Linked DNA regions of Bombyx mori. The protein of the gene in region 3 purifies or fractionates together with the protein of the main gene of each other region. This does not show direct contact. Links are inferred from orthologs where the notes say so. Each region holds a gene or a part of one and is shown on either strand. Other genes may lie near its edges. The genes, in order: protein CLEC16A homolog, calcyclin-binding protein and E3 ubiquitin-protein ligase NRDP1.

The links.
Region 1: the proteins of E3 ubiquitin-protein ligase NRDP1 (region 3) and protein CLEC16A homolog purify together in Homo sapiens (affinity purification with mass spectrometry; 3 studies listed by BioGRID and IntAct, with this or other methods). This does not show direct contact. The link is inferred for Bombyx mori from reciprocal best matches to the Homo sapiens genes RNF41 and CLEC16A.
Region 2: the proteins of E3 ubiquitin-protein ligase NRDP1 (region 3) and calcyclin-binding protein purify together in Homo sapiens (affinity purification with mass spectrometry; 4 studies listed by BioGRID and IntAct, with this or other methods). This does not show direct contact. The link is inferred for Bombyx mori from reciprocal best matches to the Homo sapiens genes RNF41 and CACYBP.

The regions. Positions count from the first base shown.
Region 1 is NC_085123.1:11,735,060-11,741,404, forward strand, and holds part of protein CLEC16A homolog, read left to right. Parts: intron 1-122; coding exon 123-261; intron 262-1,102; coding exon 1,103-1,263; intron 1,264-1,910; coding exon 1,911-2,069; intron 2,070-2,982; coding exon 2,983-3,124; intron 3,125-4,705; coding exon 4,706-4,808; intron 4,809-5,454; coding exon 5,455-5,590; intron 5,591-6,345. UniProt on the Homo sapiens protein: Regulator of mitophagy through the upstream regulation of the RNF41/NRDP1-PRKN pathway. Mitophagy is a selective form of autophagy necessary for mitochondrial quality control.
Region 2 is NC_085109.1:7,246,407-7,253,540, reverse strand, and holds calcyclin-binding protein, read left to right. Parts: upstream 1-2,704; 5' UTR 2,705-2,881; coding exon 2,882-2,905; intron 2,906-3,034; coding exon 3,035-3,251; intron 3,252-4,493; coding exon 4,494-4,700; intron 4,701-4,871; coding exon 4,872-5,034; intron 5,035-5,431; coding exon 5,432-5,525; 3' UTR 5,526-5,598; downstream 5,599-7,134. UniProt on the Homo sapiens protein: May be involved in calcium-dependent ubiquitination and subsequent proteasomal degradation of target proteins. Probably serves as a molecular bridge in ubiquitin E3 complexes. Participates in the ubiquitin-mediated degradation of beta-catenin (CTNNB1).
Region 3 is NC_085128.1:13,443,084-13,450,014, forward strand, and holds the start of E3 ubiquitin-protein ligase NRDP1, read left to right. Parts: upstream 1-3,006; 5' UTR 3,007-3,212; coding exon 3,213-3,302; intron 3,303-3,373; coding exon 3,374-3,516; intron 3,517-4,965; coding exon 4,966-5,048; intron 5,049-5,933; exon of another isoform or gene 5,934-6,159; coding exon 6,160-6,365; exon of another isoform or gene 6,366-6,641; coding exon 6,642-6,800; intron 6,801-6,931. UniProt on the Homo sapiens protein: Acts as E3 ubiquitin-protein ligase and regulates the degradation of target proteins. Polyubiquitinates MYD88. Negatively regulates MYD88-dependent production of pro-inflammatory cytokines.

The DNA.
Region 1 (6,345 bases), on a different chromosome or scaffold from region 3:
CTATCCAGAACGCTAAAAAACTCGCACTAAGCACACATATCTGTATAAACCTATGAAAGACGCTTCGAACTTAAGTTCTTAGCAACAGTTATAATATTTTTTCTTTTATGCCTCAATCTCAGATAGAGAGAGCCCGTAGAGCGATAAGATCGTTCTTCCTAATACGAGACCTGTTCTTGAAGTTGAGCGGGATACCAGAAAACCAACTGCCTCTGACGAACCCGGCACCGTTTGTCGAAGTCGGCAACGTTTTGGATCTCAGTAAGTCGTTTAGTTTACAGGTATAGTGATCTGGTCCGTACGTCACGATATAAGGACCTTTGTCTTACGAAAACAAGACAAAGAAGCTTTGCGTTAGATTTTCGGAGTATTTACAGTTAGGCGGTCATTGGGTGAATGGCGTTGCCAATATTGAAACCGGAACGCACCAGTGCCTTTATGCCGAAGCAGCGTATTGGTACATTCTCGTGCAAGATCATGTGCGAACACTTGTATTAGTAAAAAGGAGGGTGTTTTGGGCATTTAATTGTTTTTTTCTGGGTTCACCGGGTTTTGTCCGATGGAACGGAAACGCTTAAATAAAAACATCCTGCCTATTTGTGATTAAATGTACTTAAGTAGCTTTTATAATTAACTAACTTTTGCCCACGACTTCGTTCGCGTGGAATAGTTCACAAATAATGCTTTATTTTAGAACAAATTTGGTTAGCATAAAAAACGTTATAGTGAGCCAACCTTAACATATAAACATATGCCGTCGCAGACTTTTTTTAAAATCTTTTAAAGGGGAGCAATTCTGTCATACATTGTTTTAGCGAAACTTTAACCGTTTCTGCAGCGTATGCAGCGGAAGCTCTTAAAAAGGGAAAAAAACCCGATTTTGAAACATTCTTATTGATGCTCCGCTTGTATTGGCCTTAGCGTAATGTTATATAGCCTATAGACTTCCTTAATAAATAGGCTATCTAACACTGAAATAATTCTTCAAATCGGACCACTAGTTCCTGAGATTAACGTGTTCAAACAAACAAACTCTTCAGCTTTATAATATTAAGTATAGATAATAAATATGTATAGTTGTAATGAGTATTGAATTTTGCAGACGATTCCGATCTGATATCGTGCGACATAATACAGAAGGATGGTACGTGGCAGCACAGGTTCTTAGCCGTCGACAACATGCAGATAATACTCGTCGAGCCGGACAAACAGAGGCTCGGGTGGGGAGTCGCCAAACTGGTGGGCAGCCTTCAGGATTTGGAGGTAACTTTGATGGAATGAAAACGTTTAGGTACGTCGAAGAAATCCGTAATAAATTTTTTTTAATCGACAATTGGTAACACTTTTTTAATTATGAGTACTGGCAACCCCAAACTTGTTAATGTGAAATCAACATCTGTAAATGTGAAGTATATATAGGTTTCATTCTAAGACGTCTGATTAATCTTAAATGTGTATTAATAGATCTAAATATTTCCGGAATAGGAGTAGAGTAGATTAAAATGATAATAATTAAAAACAAAAAAATGTTATTCAATTAATGACAATTGATCTCGCGTTTTTATTGTTATTATTTTCGACGTTTCGAATGCTTTACGACTTGCGAATGGCGAAGAAAAACGAAATAGCCCTTGTTCGAGTTGATATCGCGTGTATCTTTAATATGCGCTTTTTTTAAATAGCTTAGATGGGTTGACGAGCTCACAGTCCACGCTGTTAAGTGGTTACCGGAGCCCATAGACATCTAGAACGTAAATGCGCCACCTACCTTGAGATATAAGTTCTAAGATCTCAAGTATAGTTACAACGGCTGCCCCGCCCTTCAAACCGAAACGCACTACTGCTTCACAGCAGGGTGGTGGTACCTACCTGTGCGGACTCATAAGAGATCCTACCCACCGTCTGTTCAGATCCAAGGCGATAAGGAAGATCCGCGGTGCCTCCACCTGACCATCCACAAGCCGCGGGTGGGCGCGACGGGCGCGCTTCCCAGGACGCTACTGCTGCGGGCCAAGTTCAAGTTCGACGACTACATACGCAGCATGGCGGCCAAACAGAGGCTCATTAAGGTATACGATATATACTAAGTTAATATTACTTACTGATGTTTGACTAGCCGACGCCTACGCGCGCATTGCTGTTAGCGTGGATCTATATGTTACTTATGACGACGCTTGCAGCTGAAAGTAAGTATTGTACTTTTTGACGAAGCACCTTAAGAGCTGATAACTCTATTTCTGTAATCTGACGAAGCGTGTTGCGGATAATAACATGTACTTTTAGGTTAGGAATATTATGTTCTTTTTTTTATAAATATTTGACATTTAATAAATTTAATGATTTATACGGTATTATAAAAAAAGAAAATTGTAAACACAATGTTAAACTGAGAAAGTTAAGTTTGATTTCAAGTTGGTGTTTACATTAGAAATGTAGGCTCAGTAAATTTACAAGGGTCGCGGCTCTTAACGCATCCCCATTGCACGTAACATGAGTGCAAACAAACTATAAAAAAAATAGCCACAAGTGACATAATACGTCATGATCCGTATTCAGTTTGACGTAGATAATGGATAAAAAATGTAAGAATTTTTTGAATAGTTAGTCGAAATGTAAGCCTTTGTTTTAAAAGTACAGTGATTAAGTTATCAATTAACCGTTATCGTCGAACTCGGCAAAGAGTTTGACGTGTAACCTAACCCATGCATCCGCCCGCTGTTTCTCGCCGGATCTTCTCAGCGGGTCACGATTCCGACCCGGTAGTAGATTCTTTCGCGAAGCAGTTGCTTTTCAGTTGTTATGTCTCCTTCGGAGGCACTCAGGCAGTTGCTAGCTAACCCCAGTCCTCCTGATTGAGCCTTTGCTCGCCCACCTATCCTGGTGAAACTGGAAAGGCCTCCGGGCCACCAGTAATCTTTCAATCATCGCTCTCCGATTAAGATCAGAACCTTGATGAGTTGACTGGATGTAAATAATTGACAGGGTCGCATGAAGTCCCGCCAGAAGAAGATGCAGCAGATCGGGCGACTGCTGGAAGTGTCGGGAGTGTCCGCGCCCCCCGCCGCGCCGCGCCCCCGCCCGCTGTTCTCCCGCCCCGGCCTCTCGGCGATCAGGAGATCTACAGGTTCCGTACAATTGCACGTTCTATCCAAACACAATTCGTCTTTTCTCATTGAAAGTGTACAATTTCCAAATTCGAAATTGAGTATTAACTCAATTTCGAATTTGGAACAGGAAAACTAAATAAAATAAAAAAACTAAAACTAAACTACGCTCTTTTGAGAGTATTTATGAAAAAAATACTGGTGATAACCAAACGATTCCGCATAATATTAATTATTAATAATATTTAATTTTAAATTAATAATATTTAATAATTAATATTATGCGGAATCGTTTTATTTTAAATTAATAATATTTAATAATTAATATTATGCGGAATCGTTTGGTTATCACCAGTATTTTTTTCATAAATACTGTCAAAAGAGCGTAGTTTAGTTTTTAGTTTTTTTATTTTATTTAGTTTTCCTGTTTTGAATACTATTAACAAAATTAATAGATAATTTTATCTTACTTTTAAATACAGATAATGTAACTGGTAAAAAATAAAAAATAAATGTTGCAAAAATGATTAATATTAAAAATATCACATGTTGTTTAACACACTTTAAAACACTCTCCTGTAAAATTAGTAAGTTTTCGTGCTGCCATCTCTCGGGAATCGTGCTGCGTTTCGTTTAGCTACCAAACTATTGACCGTCTCCGACATATATCTATATATTAATACGTGAAGCAAGAACTTTGTACCCCTTTTTACGAAAATTGCGCAGACGGTGGAGTATGAAATTTCCCACACTTATAGAGAATATAGAGAAGGCTGTGAGCTCGTCCACCCATCTAAGCAATAAAAAAAAAAAACATGTATTTGACACACACACACATGCGTACTATTTGTTTATGGTCAAACTTTTCTTATTGCATAAAGTCTATCTATGGTCAAATCGAGAATAGATTTAATATTTTTTGTCTTTGCTATTATTTGTCTAAAGTGTAGTCTTGGCGAAATCTTTGATTATAGAAGTATAATAGTCTTTGACAATAGAACTATAATAATGTTCAAACTATAATTTCAATGAATTATAGTCGAATTACGACTACTGCGGGACCACTAGTAAAGATAAAAAGCCAGTCAAAGAGCAAACAACCTTGTTCATCGCACGAGCGTTTGCTCGATGCACTAAAGTATTTTTTTTAAGGGATTTTATGACCTGGTAACTGAGACCTTTAAGCCATGTCTTATTTTAATTTATATTCATATTTTTATGAAAAATGATATTATGGAGTGAAATGAAATGAAGATGATTAATTTGAGACATGAATCAACTGGGATTAAATGAAATGAAATGAAATGAGATGATATGGCATGAAATATAATCTCAGTAAAATTGTGGTCATTTACTAAGATTTTATCAGTGGACTTTTTGGAGGATCCCGAGAAGTTACGTCCAGCGGCTTTGTTTCATTTTCCCACATTTGTTCACTTTCACAAATATTAAACAGTTAATAAACCACCATTATTACACATTTAAACCCGAAAAAACACTAAATAGGCAAAATAAAACAAATCACACAACTTCACTCCTCACGTTCCCGCCAAAAAGTCATGCACTAAAGTACCCTATGTAACCTTGAAATTTCCATAAAGGAGGCGACGGCGACGACTCAGAGCGGAGGCTCCGAAGGCCGAGCGGTCACTTACTGAAAGACGGCATCGTCGTCTATCGAGAACGAACCACGAGCAGAGAGAGGTCGGTACACACCCACACCTGTTGAATTCAAATTTAACTTTTAAAGTATGCCTAAATCAAGTCTCTCTTAACTGATACTCAATTTGCGTACGCAACTTATAATCATTAAAGATAATAAATAATATTATGTATATCTTCTCGCTAAATGCATTTATCAAACGACTTTGTTACTGTAATGCCTAGTGTTAGACATTGATATTGTACTACGTTAAATTGAACAATGACGTCATTTTACACGTCGGTCATACAATATATTTCAAAAATGATTTTCTGTAGACCACCCCTGTCCTCCAAACTCTACTAAAATTAATTATGCTCTCTTTCTATTTTTTATAACTCTACACCAATTAAAATTATTTCCTAAATAGATGAGTTGTATTTAATTCCTTTCACAACTGTGTGATTCTTAATAAATATTAACTATTAGTATAATATTATTAAATATTAATATATAAATTATACTATTAGTATAATATTATTAAATATAAATATATAAATTATACTATTAGTATAATATTATTAGATAAAACTGCAATTTTCTTTTGAGCATACTAAATAAATTTCAATAAATATCTGTTTGGCAGCTTTTTATTATTTTGTTAATATAGTCAAACAGGTGTATTGACACTATGTGTTGCCATTCCAGTAGCGTGTCGAGAGGAAGCAGCGGTTCCCGAGAGGGATCTCCGAGGGGCCACCAAGAGGAAATACCACTCGAAGATATACGGAGGAACGTCGCCTCCACCAGCGCCGCGACTCCAAATGTCGTACCGCAGATAAATGTAATTGGAAGATATAAATAATAATTCACTTAATAACAAAAAAGATTTCAGCTGCAAAGTTTGAGAACCGTCACGTCGCGTCATGTTCATTATTATCATGACACCTGGCTGTATGGACTAAAGTCCTTTGCCTTTCCCGTTAGGGATAAATTAATATCATCATATTATCATGACAATTTAATGTCAAGAAACTATTCAATGTGAGCACTTAAAATGGACTGTATAATTTCGTCCATATTAAAAGATATAAACGAACGTATAAGAATTATTTAAACTACAATTTCCTCAAAATGAAACCTTACGGTGGTATGCCAATAGTCAAATGTTCATTTGATTTTAAAGAAAGTATTTATCGGTCGTACCAGATGGGAATCCTTTTATTTTTATTTTTAAGTACTTTACAGTTACAGTTGCAGTTACATTTACTTTACAGTTACAGCTATGTTCGATCTTTATTTAATGTAATCTGTTTCTCGTATTTGCCAAATTTGTTTTCGTAAAGAAAAAAGGCCTTAGCACGAGATAGGTTGACTATACCTAGCTACGTTTGGCATGATGTCGTCCGTTGATCTTTTAACACGTATTAAATAAAAAATCCATTATATTGCTACGCCGGTAAGAGTAACGCCACCTATCGCCGAATAGTTGAAACGAATATCAAAGGAGCTAGTAACGTCAAGAACGCTCGAGAAGTACAACGCCATCTGTTGTCTGATAGCGGAAACACATCGAAGTTACTCGACTTGTGAAGAATG
Region 2 (7,134 bases), on a different chromosome or scaffold from region 3:
GTGTTCGTTTCCCCTAGAAAACAAATCCTTTTCTGCATATACGCTTAAAATATTTATACATACATATAAAGTTTTTATAATACTTTTTTGCATTGATTTGCCACCACCATTGAACAATTCTAGAATTTTTATAAGGGTTCTATATTTCTTATCCTCTTTCTTTCGCGACAATATATATCCATTGTGCACAGCGAAAAGGAGCTACTAGGAAATCTACAAACAAAAATAACATTATAAAATAACAAAACTACTCTATGCATTCCCTGTTCAATAATAGGTGATGTTTGTTACAATAGTTGGTGCCTTGTTGCAAGCATTGGCCAAACAATGACAATATTCGTAAATTGAATTTTATTTACTATATAATTCTTTTTATTATTTTATGAAATTCGTTTTATAATATAAACTTACCAAAAAAAGATATTCCTTCCAAAACCTTGGTGTTACGGTAGTTTTTTACTCAGTTTTTGAACGCGCAGTGCAGCGTTTTGACGTCTTAATGTTGGCTATGATTGGACCATACTAATTTGAAATAAGACCACAAATAAATTTGTGGTCTTATTTTTCGGGCCGTTTTTGAAGCGTTAATCGCGAATCTAGTAGTATTATTGATCGAAGTTTCGAACGAAATGTGGGCGATTGCGTAGTGTTAGTATGTACTAAGAACGCATGCCTACCTGCTACCTTGCTTAGACGGCCAATTTTCAGGTATCAGGTACTCAAGGTACATAAAATCATGACCTACTTCACGTATCTTCTGAAAGCTGATTTTTACGTATATTTTAGGCAATATCCTTAAAAATAAGTCGCCAATACTCCCAGACACTTTCCGTCGGCCGAATTGCTTTGCAGATGCTCTAAAGGGCCAATCATCCCTTAGATTCAATTTAATACCCTGTGGCGCATGAGACTGAGTGAGACATGTATTAGGATATATTGACCTCTCTGTCTCTCTATATCTCACAGTTGACTCATATCAATTAATTATTAATATTAAAAGAAAATCAGTTAAAAATTAAACAATCAGGTAAATAATTACTCAAATTATATATGGGAATTGGCCCTATTTTTATATATGTAACGTAATGATTTTTTTCGATTTCGTATATTTTTTTTTATTTCTTTAGTAGGCAGACGAGTACACGGCCCACCTGATGGTGAGTGGTTACCGTCGCCCATGGACTTCAGCAATGCCAGGGGCAGAGCCAAGCCGCTGCCTAACTATACATAATTAAATATATTTTTTTTTACCCGGGAGGATAAAATTCAAGAATAATGGTAGTCAAATGAGCATTTTTTTACAAATTAATTTTTAATTATTTACCTGTTTATTTAATTTTTAACGATTTTCTTTTAATATTAAAAATAAGTCGCCAATACTCTCAGACACTTTCCGTCGGCCGAAGTGCTTTGCAGACGCTTTAAAGCTCCCAAAATAATGACCTTACTTCATGTAAATTCTGAAAGCTGATTTTTATATATGTCCACCAGACAACTATTTTAAAACCTGTTACAAAAAGACAGACCGATCCAAGGGGCCAATCATCCCCTAAATTCAATTTAATACCTCTGTGGATAAGAGCGCGAGAGCGCATTATCCACGCGCATGAGACTGAGTGAGACATGTATTAGGATATATTGACTTCTCTATCTCTCTCTTACAGTTGACTCATATCAATTAATTATTAATATTAAAAGAAAATTAGTTAAAAAATTAAATAATCAGAAAATACGTGACATCTGGGGGCCCTGGGATCTTACTCTATAAAGAGCGCCTACAAAACGAGATTATTAAGTTCAAATATCTGATGAGGTGCCAACAAGCACAAGTGCAAGTGTAAGAAGAGAAAAATATGTACAATATTAAAGAAAAGAATGGGAAGAAGAATTTCCAGGCTGGATACTAAATAGTCGGTTTCCTTTGTTGTCTAATTTCATTTTTAATATTTTATCACTTCCCCATTCATCCGCTAACGTTGAACGCATATTTTCACATATTAATCTTTTGAAAACAAAACAGCAAAATAGGCTGCCTACTGAATCAATCACTGGTCTATTTAATGCAAAACGATTTTAATACAGCCAATTGTTATGATTTTGAAATTAAGTCGAAGAAGACCGTGCCTATGGCCAAAAATATTGGTATAAAAAATAATTATACATAGAATGATTGTTATAAATTAGTCTGTAAGTTTTTTTTCAATAAATCAACGAATTTTATTGAATATTGTATTTTTTTATTAAATACCGATTTTGGGTACATATATACCGATTTAACTGGCAACTATACCGATTTCGCTTTATGAGGGACTTTTTGGCGGAAACGCGAGGAGTGAAGTGGTATGATTTGTTTTATTTTGTCTATTCAGTGTTTCTTCAGGTTTAAATGTGTAATAACGGTGGTTTATTAACTGTTTAATATCTGTGAAAGCGCACAAATTTGGAAGAACTGTGGCTTTGTTTCAGCCACTGGTCGTAACTTCTCGGGATCCTCCAAAAACTCCACTAAAAATCTCAGTGACTCTAAATGACCACCATTTTACTAAGATTATATTTCATCCCAAATCATTTCATTTTATCCCAGTTGATTAATGTCTCAAATTAATCATTTTCATTTCATTTCGCTCCTCATTTTTAGATAAGTATAAGAAAATAACTAAAAATAAGACATGACTTAAAAGTCTTCATTACCAGGTCATAAAATCCTTAAAAAAATCGTTCTATGACGTTCGAGAGTAATCGAGAGCTCGAGCGAGATCATTGGCTTACTGTTCTAATATAAATAATCTACGTTACTGGACTTCAAAATAGCTGATTAACGTGCTTATTTGTGATTTCAAAAGATTTGCACAGCATACAAACAAACTGTTCATTTATAAAAATGTCAGAAGCAAAAATACAAGAGGTATTAATCACCCATCACTACATTCAGTAAATCAATGTAATCATCAATGTAAATCAAGTAAAATAAATCAGTAATTCATTAAAGACAATGAATGGAAATTCAATGTAACCTTCATTGCAATTTTTTCAGATAAGAAGCGATATCGAAGAGATCAATGATCTGTTAAAGCAAGCTAAACGTAAGAAAGTACAGGATTTACTCTCCTTGGAGATCAGAAAACTTGAGACAGAACTAATAACATTAAAAGAAAAGGAAACTTTGACGCCCATGGAAGTATCACCAATACCCACAACAAGTACATCAGCTCCAGTGCAAAAGAAGTATCAAGTCAAATTGAATGTATATGGTCAGTAATTTAGAATCATATTAATATATCTAGAAGTCTCTGTAGATGAGACTTGTTATTTACAGCTCCTATGGCCAACCTTGTGCGAAAAGAGATAAGTTCCCTAAATCCTTAAATAAGTGAGTCTATAGTGTATGTTTATCAGAATGTTCTGCATAAATGGTCTAACCTATTAATTCTTATAGCTTAAAAATATATATGTATATATTATATGTAAAGCTAAGTAAGTATACGTCACAAACTGATAACTTTGTCTGTACCTGAAAAAGGTCTTAAATTTCTTACATAGAGAGACAACAAAGAGACTCAATACAAGCTCAATAGTTTTATCCTATGAGAAGTAATAAAAAACCAAAATCGCCACTAGCTTGAATTACTTTGTAGACCAGCCTTTCCCAAAGTGGGAGATAACGCCCCCTTGTGGGCACTGCAGGCTTAAAGGGGGGCGGTGAGAGACCCAGAAAAAAATGGGGGCATTGATTAGGGGCTTGGGAGGCGATTTGTAATTTCATCTAGGAAGACTTAAACACCAGATGAGTCATAGGTTATAGTGGTTTTTAAGTAGGTGAAAAAATAGGAGTGCTAAAAAATAATTTATTAACAAACTGGGCAGTAGACAAAATGGGTTTGGGAACCCCTGTTATATCAGTGTAGAATAACACCACCCCATCTATTTTTGTAAATGTTCTAAAAGGCAATTAAGAGCTGCGAATGAGCAAATGCTAGTAAGGTACATTATAAAACTTCATAAGTTTTTTTATAGCTTACATTAGTGAATGAGTTCATGCTTCATTGGTGTTATGTGGCTACCAGAGCCCATAAATATCAACAATATAAATGCCTCTACTTACCTTGAGACATACTAATTTTCAGTGTTTATTGTACAATAGCTACCCAAGCTTTCAAACCAAAACGCATTACTTCTTCAAAGCAGAAATAGATAGGGTCGTGGTACTTACCTTACTATACAAAGTACCAACATCTGGTCTATTTCTGTAGCAGACCAGTAATTCTTCCTGGTTTGAAGAATAAGATAGTTTACAATACAGTTGAGAATTTGACCTCATGTCTCAAGATATATGCAGCATTCAAATTGCTACCTCTGAACAGCAGCTACTTTTTCACCATCAGGTGGGACAAAAGCTCATTCACCTCATATAATTAATTTATTTTTTCTCAAGTTTACCTATTGAACTGTGGATATTACAATGAAATCGTAATGATCAAATTTTGTATTTGTAGGTTGGGACCAGTCGGATAAATTTGTTAAGGTATTTGTTGAACTAAAGAATGTTCATACACTACCAAAGGAACAGGTATATTGTAAATTGACAGATAAATCAATGGAGCTGCATGTGGACAATCTGGAAAATAAAGATTACTTGCTTGTTATTAACAAGTTATTGGAACCTATAAATGTGGCAGACAGTCATTGGAAACAAAAAACAGGTAATAAATATAATTAATTAATAAAAAATATACGTATACTCTGGTTTTTCATTCACATTGTTGACGATTACCTTTTCAAACATGCTTCATTTGTTATTTAAAATGGCTCAAATAACAAAAGAATATCTATGCTAATAAGGCATTTGACAATAATAACATTTCTTTTCGCAGATAAGGTAGTCATATTCCTTGCAAAATCTAATCCAAACACAACATGGTCTCATATGACTGAAATTGAAAAAAAATTTGAAGACCAACGTAATAACCGCTTGAAACCTGCCGAAACTGACAAGAAAGATCCACAAGATTCCATAATGAGTCTCATGAAGAATATGTGAGTACTATTTATTTAACTAGAAATTAATGGATACTTAATTAATATTACATTAATAGTATGTATGTATCTTTAACATCAATACTCTAAGAGGTTACTCAAAACTTTCTTGGTTCCTTTCCAATGAAGAATACTTTATGCTAACAGATGCCTGAGAATACCTCAAATCAGTATTTTAAGTATATGATTTTGTTGTTTGAGATTGAAAAACATTTAACAATGTTTATATGATGACCAATATGGTTTTTATGTATTTCTCATTTAATTTTCAGGCTTAATGGGGACCATTTGTGTTGTTAATGTCATTCTCATCTTAAACAAAAAAAAATTAGAACAACTATACTCTAACATCATTACTCTTATGTTCTAATACATGGGTAATTTATTTAATTTCCAGGTATGAAACTGGTGATGATGAAATGAAGAGAATGATCTCCAAGGCTTGGTATGAAGGACAGCAGCGTAAGAAAACTGATATAATGGATTTATAAACTAAACTCAGCATAAATTCTGAATTGTATTCTGTTAAGCAGTAAAGAAATCGTGTATTATTAAAAAGATTCAGTGTTTGTTTTATTTCTGCCCTCTTTGCAAACATTTTATCGCCCAACCTTCTCTAACTGCGACGCTTGATGGCTTCTATCTCTTTAACACTGCAGTACAGTGAAACAGTACCTCTTGATAAACATATCGACAACTAAAACAACTTTAAATTTTTCATTCAGTGTTCAAGAATATGTTTTGTTATCGAGCAACACTTCCGGCCTCACATAATAAATTATTTACGAACTTAGGAAATATATAGAACTTATTATTCTTATAATATAATTAGTAATTACATAATCAAGTAAATAGTTCATTCATATTTTCTTTATACTTATATTTTATTGGCGCCTTCCGCTTGACAGCTTCCGGCGCAATAAACCTTAATGTTATTTGTTACATAATTCGATATTATTAAATAATAATTGTACGTAAATAATCAGCAGAATAATTAAGATGAACAATGTTTAATATTACCTACTCAGTTTGTATTAAAATAGGTCAAGATGATTGTATAAATACCGGCGGTTAGCATATCTCGGTGGCATTCGTATTCTACCCACCATAACGTGTACTAAAGAGAATATATTATTTCGTGTGGATGTAAATTGTCTCAATTGTCACCGCCACCCTGAGGATCCGTTTATACTTCAGAAGCGGGATTATGCTAGGCCCATACATTGACGAATTTGAGACCGCTGAGAAACACAGGCGATACAAAATGCGACGTGTCACCCAAACCGATGCGGAGGTTATTCCAACGTTCCGGCCGGATGAAAAATCTAGCAACGTCAAGGGATGGCTGCACAAGATCGACCAGTTGGATCACGTATATGGATGGGACAACAAAGACTGCCAGTTCATCATGCAGATATGTCTTCGTGGGTCGGCTAGGGATTGTGCGATACACCACCGCAACTATACTACACATCCGCGAATGGCTACCACATGGAGAAGGTGCTGTTGCTCCAGTTGCAAGAGGGACCGACTTTCAACCAAAGAAATGTTACGCCTGCCGAAGAGAAGGTCATGAAACAAAGAACTGCAAAGAGCCGCGCTGCGAGGTGTGCCATCGCCCGGGACACACGTCGGTTAGCTGATGGTATGCGGCCAGCTCTTCACACCCAAAAGTGAGTAATATCTTATTTACAACATACAGCGTATGCATAGATTTGCAAAAAAAAAATAGTGTTAATTAATGGCTCTAGTCTCATTGCATACATAGACATGGGCAGCAAATTAAATATTCTGTGTGGCATATGCTGATAAGTTAAAAAAATTAAAGATTGTCTTCCGTGGTTACAATGAGAGGTTTTGGAGGCTCATACTCGTCGACCTCTTTAGGAACATCCCCGTGAATGTTCATATAGACAACATTATTGTGGCTTTGTGGAAATAACGAATTACGACATCGCTGATATAGATTTAATAATCGGAGAATCAATGATTAATATCAATATCACAAAATTCTGTTAAATTCGTGGGTAGTAGTGAAACTTTTAATAGTACTCTTAGTGAAATAAAATTACAGACAGACTTGTCCAATGTATTTAGGAC
Region 3 (6,931 bases):
AAATCCTGCAATCAGACTATTTCTATGGCCTCTCTTAATTATACTTCACAAGTAGAAGGTCAAACTTGGCAAACCTTGAAAATCGGAAATCATAGATATGATAATGTGAATCTTCTTATCGTGAAAAATCTTTGTGCTGATATAATTATTGGCCATGACGTCCTCGAAGAACATTCATCGCTAGAGTTCTCTTTCGGTGGGCCAAAACATCCACTTCAAGTATGTAACGTAGCTGAAGCATCAGTACCAGCTGTACCGCTTTTTGCGAATGTATCTCCCAACTGCAAACCTATTGCTATAAAGTCTCGAAGGCACAACAAAGAGGATAGTGAATTTATTAAAGAAGAAATCAGAAATCTTATAGCAGAGGGCGTGATTGAAGAAAGTAAATCACCGTGGAAGGCCCAAGTACTAATAACAAAAAGCGAAACTCATAAAAAACGCCTTGTAATTAATCAATTACAAGGCGTTCTTCAGTAATCACTCTCAGACAATTAATCGTTACATAGAACTCGACGCGTATCCTTTACCAAACATTGAGGACTTAGTTTCGAAAGTGGCAAAGAATATATTTTTCAGCCTAATAGACCTAAAAAACGCGTACCATCAAGTACCTATACTACCCGAAAAAAGAAAATTTATCGCTTTTGAAGCACTGGGAAATTTGTACCAGTTCAGGCGTATTCCTTTTGGAGTAACAAATGGTGTTTCGAGCTTCCAACGAACAATCGATTGGATTATAAGAAAAGAGAAGCTTCAAAACACATATGCGTATCTTGATGATATAACTATTTCTGGCCGTACTCTTGAAGAACACGATCATAACTTAGAAAGTTTTATGAATGCCGCAAAGAAATACGGTTTAACACTGAGTATACAAAAATGCAAATTTTCTCAAAAGTCAATTAATATTCTAGGCTATAATATTCAAAACCACATAATTAAACCTGACAATGAGCGACTCAAGCCACTGATTAATTTACCTCCACCAAGCGATTTACCGACCTTAAGAAGGACACTCGGCATGTTCGCACATTATTCTAAGTGGATTCCAAAATTTTCTGAACGGATCCACTCACTTGCTAATACGACGATTTTTCCACTCGCAAGCGAGCAAATTAAATGTTTCGAAGGCTTGAAAAATGATATCGTAAAGTCTTCTATACATGCAATTGATGAAAATATACCTTTTACAGTGGAAACTGACGCTTCCAATCATTCCATTGCAGCAGTACTTACGCAAAATTCTAGACCAGTGGCGTTTTTCTCAAGAACGTTAAATTCAAGCGAACAAAACCATTCCGCCATTGAAAAAGAAGCGTACGCCATTGTGGAATCATTGAAGAAATGGACACATTTCCTTATTGGTAGACACTTTAAGTTGGTAACTGACCAATGCTCGGTTTCTTTTATGTTTAATATGAAACATTCAAGTAAGATAAAGAATGAAAAGATTCAAAGATGGCGACTGGAACTTGCTGCTTTCAAATACGATATTATATACAAACCGGAGAAAGAGAACTATGCTGCTGATGCACTATCCCGAGTTTGTGCCACTGTAGAAACACGTACTGCAAAACTTTTCTCGCTGCATGAAGCTCTTTGTCATCCAGGGGTAACAAGAATGTTTCACTGGGTTCGCTCTAAAAACCTTCCCTATTCTATTGAAGAAGTCAGAACAATGACAAAATCTTGTCGAACCTGCTCTGAAATAAAACATAGATTCTTCCGAAATACCTTTGATGACCAGAGGAAACTTGTTAAAGCGACGGCTGCTTTTGAACGCCTTAGCATAGATTTTAAAGGACCAGTTCCAACAAATAATAATAACAAATTCATACTTACCGTGATTGACGAATTTTCACGTTTCCCGTTTGCATTCCCATGCTCAGATGTAAGCTCGAAAACAGTGATTAAGCATCTTAACAACTTGTTTATGATATTTGGGATGCCTTCTTACGTTCAATCAGATCGCGGAACAGCATTTCTTTCTGCTGAAGTACAGGAATTTTTACATGTTCGAGGTATTGCCACTAGTAGAACTACAGCTTATAACCCTCAAGGTAACGGTCAAGTAGAAAAATTGAATTCTACTCTTTGGAGAACGATTCTTTTGGCGCTGAAGACGAAGAATCTTTCGGTAGAAAATTGGGAACAAGTATTACCACAAGCCTTACATTCAATCCGATCATTACTTTGTACAACCATAAATTGCACTCCACATGAAAGAATGTATAGACACCCTCGAAGATCTACAAACGGCACTTCTGTTCCATCGTGGCTTACAAATTCTGGACAAGTCTTGATGAAGAAATTTAATCGTACAAATAAATATCAGCCATTAGTAGAAGAGGTTGAATTGATACACAGCAATCCTGATTTTTCATACATTCGGCTTCCAGATGGCCGAGAAACAACAGTGTCGAATCATCATCTAGCACCATTGGGTTCAGAAAGGGTAGATCTGCGAATAGATAATGAACACACTATTGATTATCATAACGTCGCAGAACCACTTCCGGAAACAGAAGACCAAAACTTGGAGATTCCTTCATCTAATAAAACGGGACCTGTGGTACTTGATAATAACAGAGAGCTAGAGACAGAATTACCATCATCACCACCGCCGGAGCCAACACTTCGTAGATTTGGTCGCGTCCATAAAACGCCAGGATTTTTAAAAGATTATGTTTTAAAATAGTGCGGGAGAATGATGTAAACTTCTTAGTTGAAATTATCAGCCATAAGTTGACGTCATTGTCAATCTGTTTTATTCGTTATTTGTCAATGTACCTAATGTAATCAAAGCAAATTTTACTGTTAATTTTAGCTTATTAAAACCTTATATTTAGTAAAGGTTTTCTCTTATTACAGGGCTCTTGTGCTGTAATTGGAAAACGGCCATTTAGTTTTTTGAACCTGATAGCACCGATTAATAAAACAGCTTTTGTACTGGCCTAAAGGTCTAATAGATACCAGGTCATAAAATTAAAAAAAAAAAAGCTTTTGTACAGTAAACCTGAGTCTCTAATATATTAAGTGTATAATCTATGAACCTGAGTAAACCAAATCTATACGTCTGACTGTAAATAATTAGTTTATTTTCAACTTATCTGAACTCAAACCTTGTTTTTTACTATAGTATGATCATAAAAAGTTAACTTTAAGATACCAAAATCTTACTAATGTATATTTTGTGATAAATATTAATTATGGGCTTTGAAATCAAAAGGTTTCAAGGTGACGTCGATGAGGAGCTTATTTGTCCTATTTGTTCCGGAGTCCTCGAAGACCCGTTACAGGTAAATAATAGCAAGATGAGTGCAAAATATAACAAAAGTTGTGGTTAGAGTGACAATTGTGATGATTCCAGGCGCCTGCTTGTGAGCACGCGTTTTGTCGAGCTTGTATTACGGAGTGGATCAGTAGACAGCCTACCTGTCCTGTAGACCGGCAAACGGTAACCGCGAGTCAGCTAAGGCCAGTTCCAAGGATACTGCGCAACCTTCTGTCCAGGCGAGTGAATTTCTTTACTAGAATTTGTGAATTTACTGTCTTTTTGTAGGTCAAAAACTTAATTGTTTGACCTTTTATAACTATAATGTTTTCTTCTAGCCACTAATATAGTATTTTTCAATATTTTTATACCTAAAAATTGAGTAGTAACTTTAGTAGTACTGTGTTTTGTACTTTAAACAGTAGTTTAATTAATTTTTAGAATGGATTATAGTCAATAATAAAATGTTCAAATTCATTTTAAAATTATGGTAAACAATAGACTCTTATCAGAAAATATCCGCAAAAATAAAGTAATGAAAAAATTTTTTCCTTTTGATTATTATTCAATAGTAATTATTTAAGCTTTAGGTACAATAACCTTTATCTTAATTATGCAAAGAAAACAATTTCATAATACACATTTAAATTGATTGCTACATTAACTGGAAATGATCTCGTCAACTGACCTAGTTATGTTGTCACCACATTAATAATCAGCACAAAACCAGTTCTCTGGTTACATAATAACATGGTCCTGGTTTTCTATTTATTAGTAACTATGGTCATTCCTGCCACATTGAGTTTTTACTTGAAGAAAAAACATGGATAACAAAAAACCTTTCATAACTAAAAAGGATTGTTTTTCCCTGAAAACTTTTCTTAAATTACTGCAAAATTATGTTTAAAATTTTAAGTAATTGGTTTAAGTGAAATTGCAATCAAAATGTGTTTAGAAGAGATTTGTTTGTTTTTAAATGGTTTGGTTAAATGGTTTTAAATGGTTTATAGAAATATGGCCATATCAATATCCATTCAAGCTCATATTCCAAATTAATGTTATCACACTATGGAAACTAAAAATGGGTTTAGACGTGATCAAAGATGTAAAAACATACCAGGAATACCTATTATATTTGTATATTTATAATCAATTGCCACATTGATTATGGAGTATCAAACACTTGATAGATTTTGCTGTGTTCATAATTATCAGGACCAAGCTTGCTTGAAAGCTTTATTTAGATTTTTTTTTTTTGTGCTTGAAGGTGATTTAGTCTCTGAGTACTTTAACACTCTCTGTACACACTGTAACATCCAGATTCTTTTACATTGTCATTGTAGGTAGATGAGCATATGGCCCACCTTACGGTAATTGATTGTTAGCATGGACATTAGCAATGCTGGTGGCACAGTCAAGTTATAGCTGATCGCTGAGTATCTCTAATTTGTTTGTGGACTGGAGTTCATTCCAGAGTCTTATGCTACATGGCATAAAAGATCTGTGGAAATGCACTTTTGATGAACACAGGAGTTCCAGATAGCATGGATGAACTCCGTTCCGGTGGCCAATGGCCACATCAATGATATGAATGAATGAGAAAAAATGAAACCTGAAATCTTTCAATAATGAAAGTTTTTACTTAATTAGAGTTTAACATCATAATCTTATTCAATTATGTTTTTCAGATTATGCACAAGTTGCGACAATGCTCCACATGGCTGTAATGCCATTTTAAAACTGGACTCTCTACCTAATCATTTAGTTGAATGTAAGTGTTGACTTTTACTATCCTTTTTAGAGTAGACCAGAGCATGCTATGGTATGCATCAGAACAATAATATTTTTTATTGCTAATATGGGTGGACGAGCTCACAGCCCACCTAGTGTTAAGTGGTTACTGGAGCCTATAAACATCTACAACGTAAATGCGCCACTCACCTTGAGATTGAGTTCTAAGGTCTCAAGTATAGTTACAACAGCTGCCCCGACCTTCGAACCGAAACGCATTACTGCTTCATAGCAGAAATAGGCGGGGCGGTGGTACCTACCCGTGCGGACTCACAAGAAGTCTTACCACCTTCCTAAAATTATGCTATATGATGTACATACATCTATGTGGTTTGTAGAGTAAATTTGTAATGTTGGCTATTTATGTTTGATAAAGTAATAGAAAATAAATGTAAGAAAATTAATTAAGACAAATAGGAATTAATACAAAAGATATTGTAATAAAATATGTAGTACAAAGATGATTTAGCTAACTTATTTAAAATAATTTTTAGAGAATACCTCACCTCAAGAATTAGATTCATTTCAATTGCTTGTATATTTTCTTATTTATTTTTTTCTATAAAAAATGAGAAGGAATCTGTTTCCAATAATTTTTTATTTATAACACCAAAGCTTGTATTGACAAGCTACTAAATAAAAACGAAAAGTAAATTGCTGGATAAACAGGGAAAGAACTAAACTGAACATTACTGAACTGTTTTGTCTTCATCTATAGACTATATCTTTAAAGGTGTACTTTAACTAAACTGCCTATCATGGAAATATGTTTTTTAATAGCCATATTTGTATACCAATTGTACTGTAGAGCTTGTCAGTTTTGTAAATCATACATAATTATGATAAGGAAAAAAAAACACCAATATCCAATTATGATATGTGAGATTAGTTTATTGACACATTTCTAAGGCCCATTTCTAATAAGACACACTTTCATTAACTTATTCTTAAAAAGTCGTCTATTTGTGTAAATTATTTTATTTATTGTAATCGAAATTGTAAAAAATATAAACCATAAATAATTTGTTTCTGTTATGAAATTATGTCCGTGTTTGATAATACATGGCTAATAAGATTAATCTGTCGAACAGGTGAATTTAATCCTAAACGACCAATACCTTGTGAGGCAGGATGTGGACTGGTGATACCAAAAGATGAATTAGCCCAACATAATTGTGTACGTGAGCTTAGAGCACTGATAGCCACTCAGCAGGGGAAGCTGAATGATTACCAGCAAGAACTGGCTGAACAGAGGCTCGTTATTAATGAGCACAAACGAGAATTGGCATTATTAAAGGTATGTTTTTTTACTATTTGTAGTTTTTTCTTAAATAACACATTCAATGTAGATTCTTTCTACCTACGTATTACCTACATAAAAAGAAATGTGAACTTTAACATTATGTTAATTTATATTTATAAATATCAGTTAACTTGTTAAAGTTTAAACATAACAAACAATAACTTGGTCTCCTTAAGTTAAAAAATTTCGATTAATCGAATTCTATAAAGCAACCATTAAAATGAGATGCGCAAATCTAACCACTTTTAAATCAGGAACATTTTCTTGAAGGAGTTCATGAGAGCGATGCGCGTGTCGAATCCAACGATGCGTGCATTGGCGGATCAGATGGAGCGCGAGGAGGTGGTGCGCTGGGCCAACTCACTGGCCAGGGCGAGGGTCACCAGGTGGGGTGGCATGATCTCTACTCCAGATGATGTTCTGCAGGTATTATGTACATTTTTTAATAAGATAAAAGTAATTCTCTATAATGTAAGAAAAATTCGTATCAGCTTGCATTATATACAGATCGCAACGCGAGTAGGTACATCGAATGTTTTAGGACTTTTCAAATAATACCT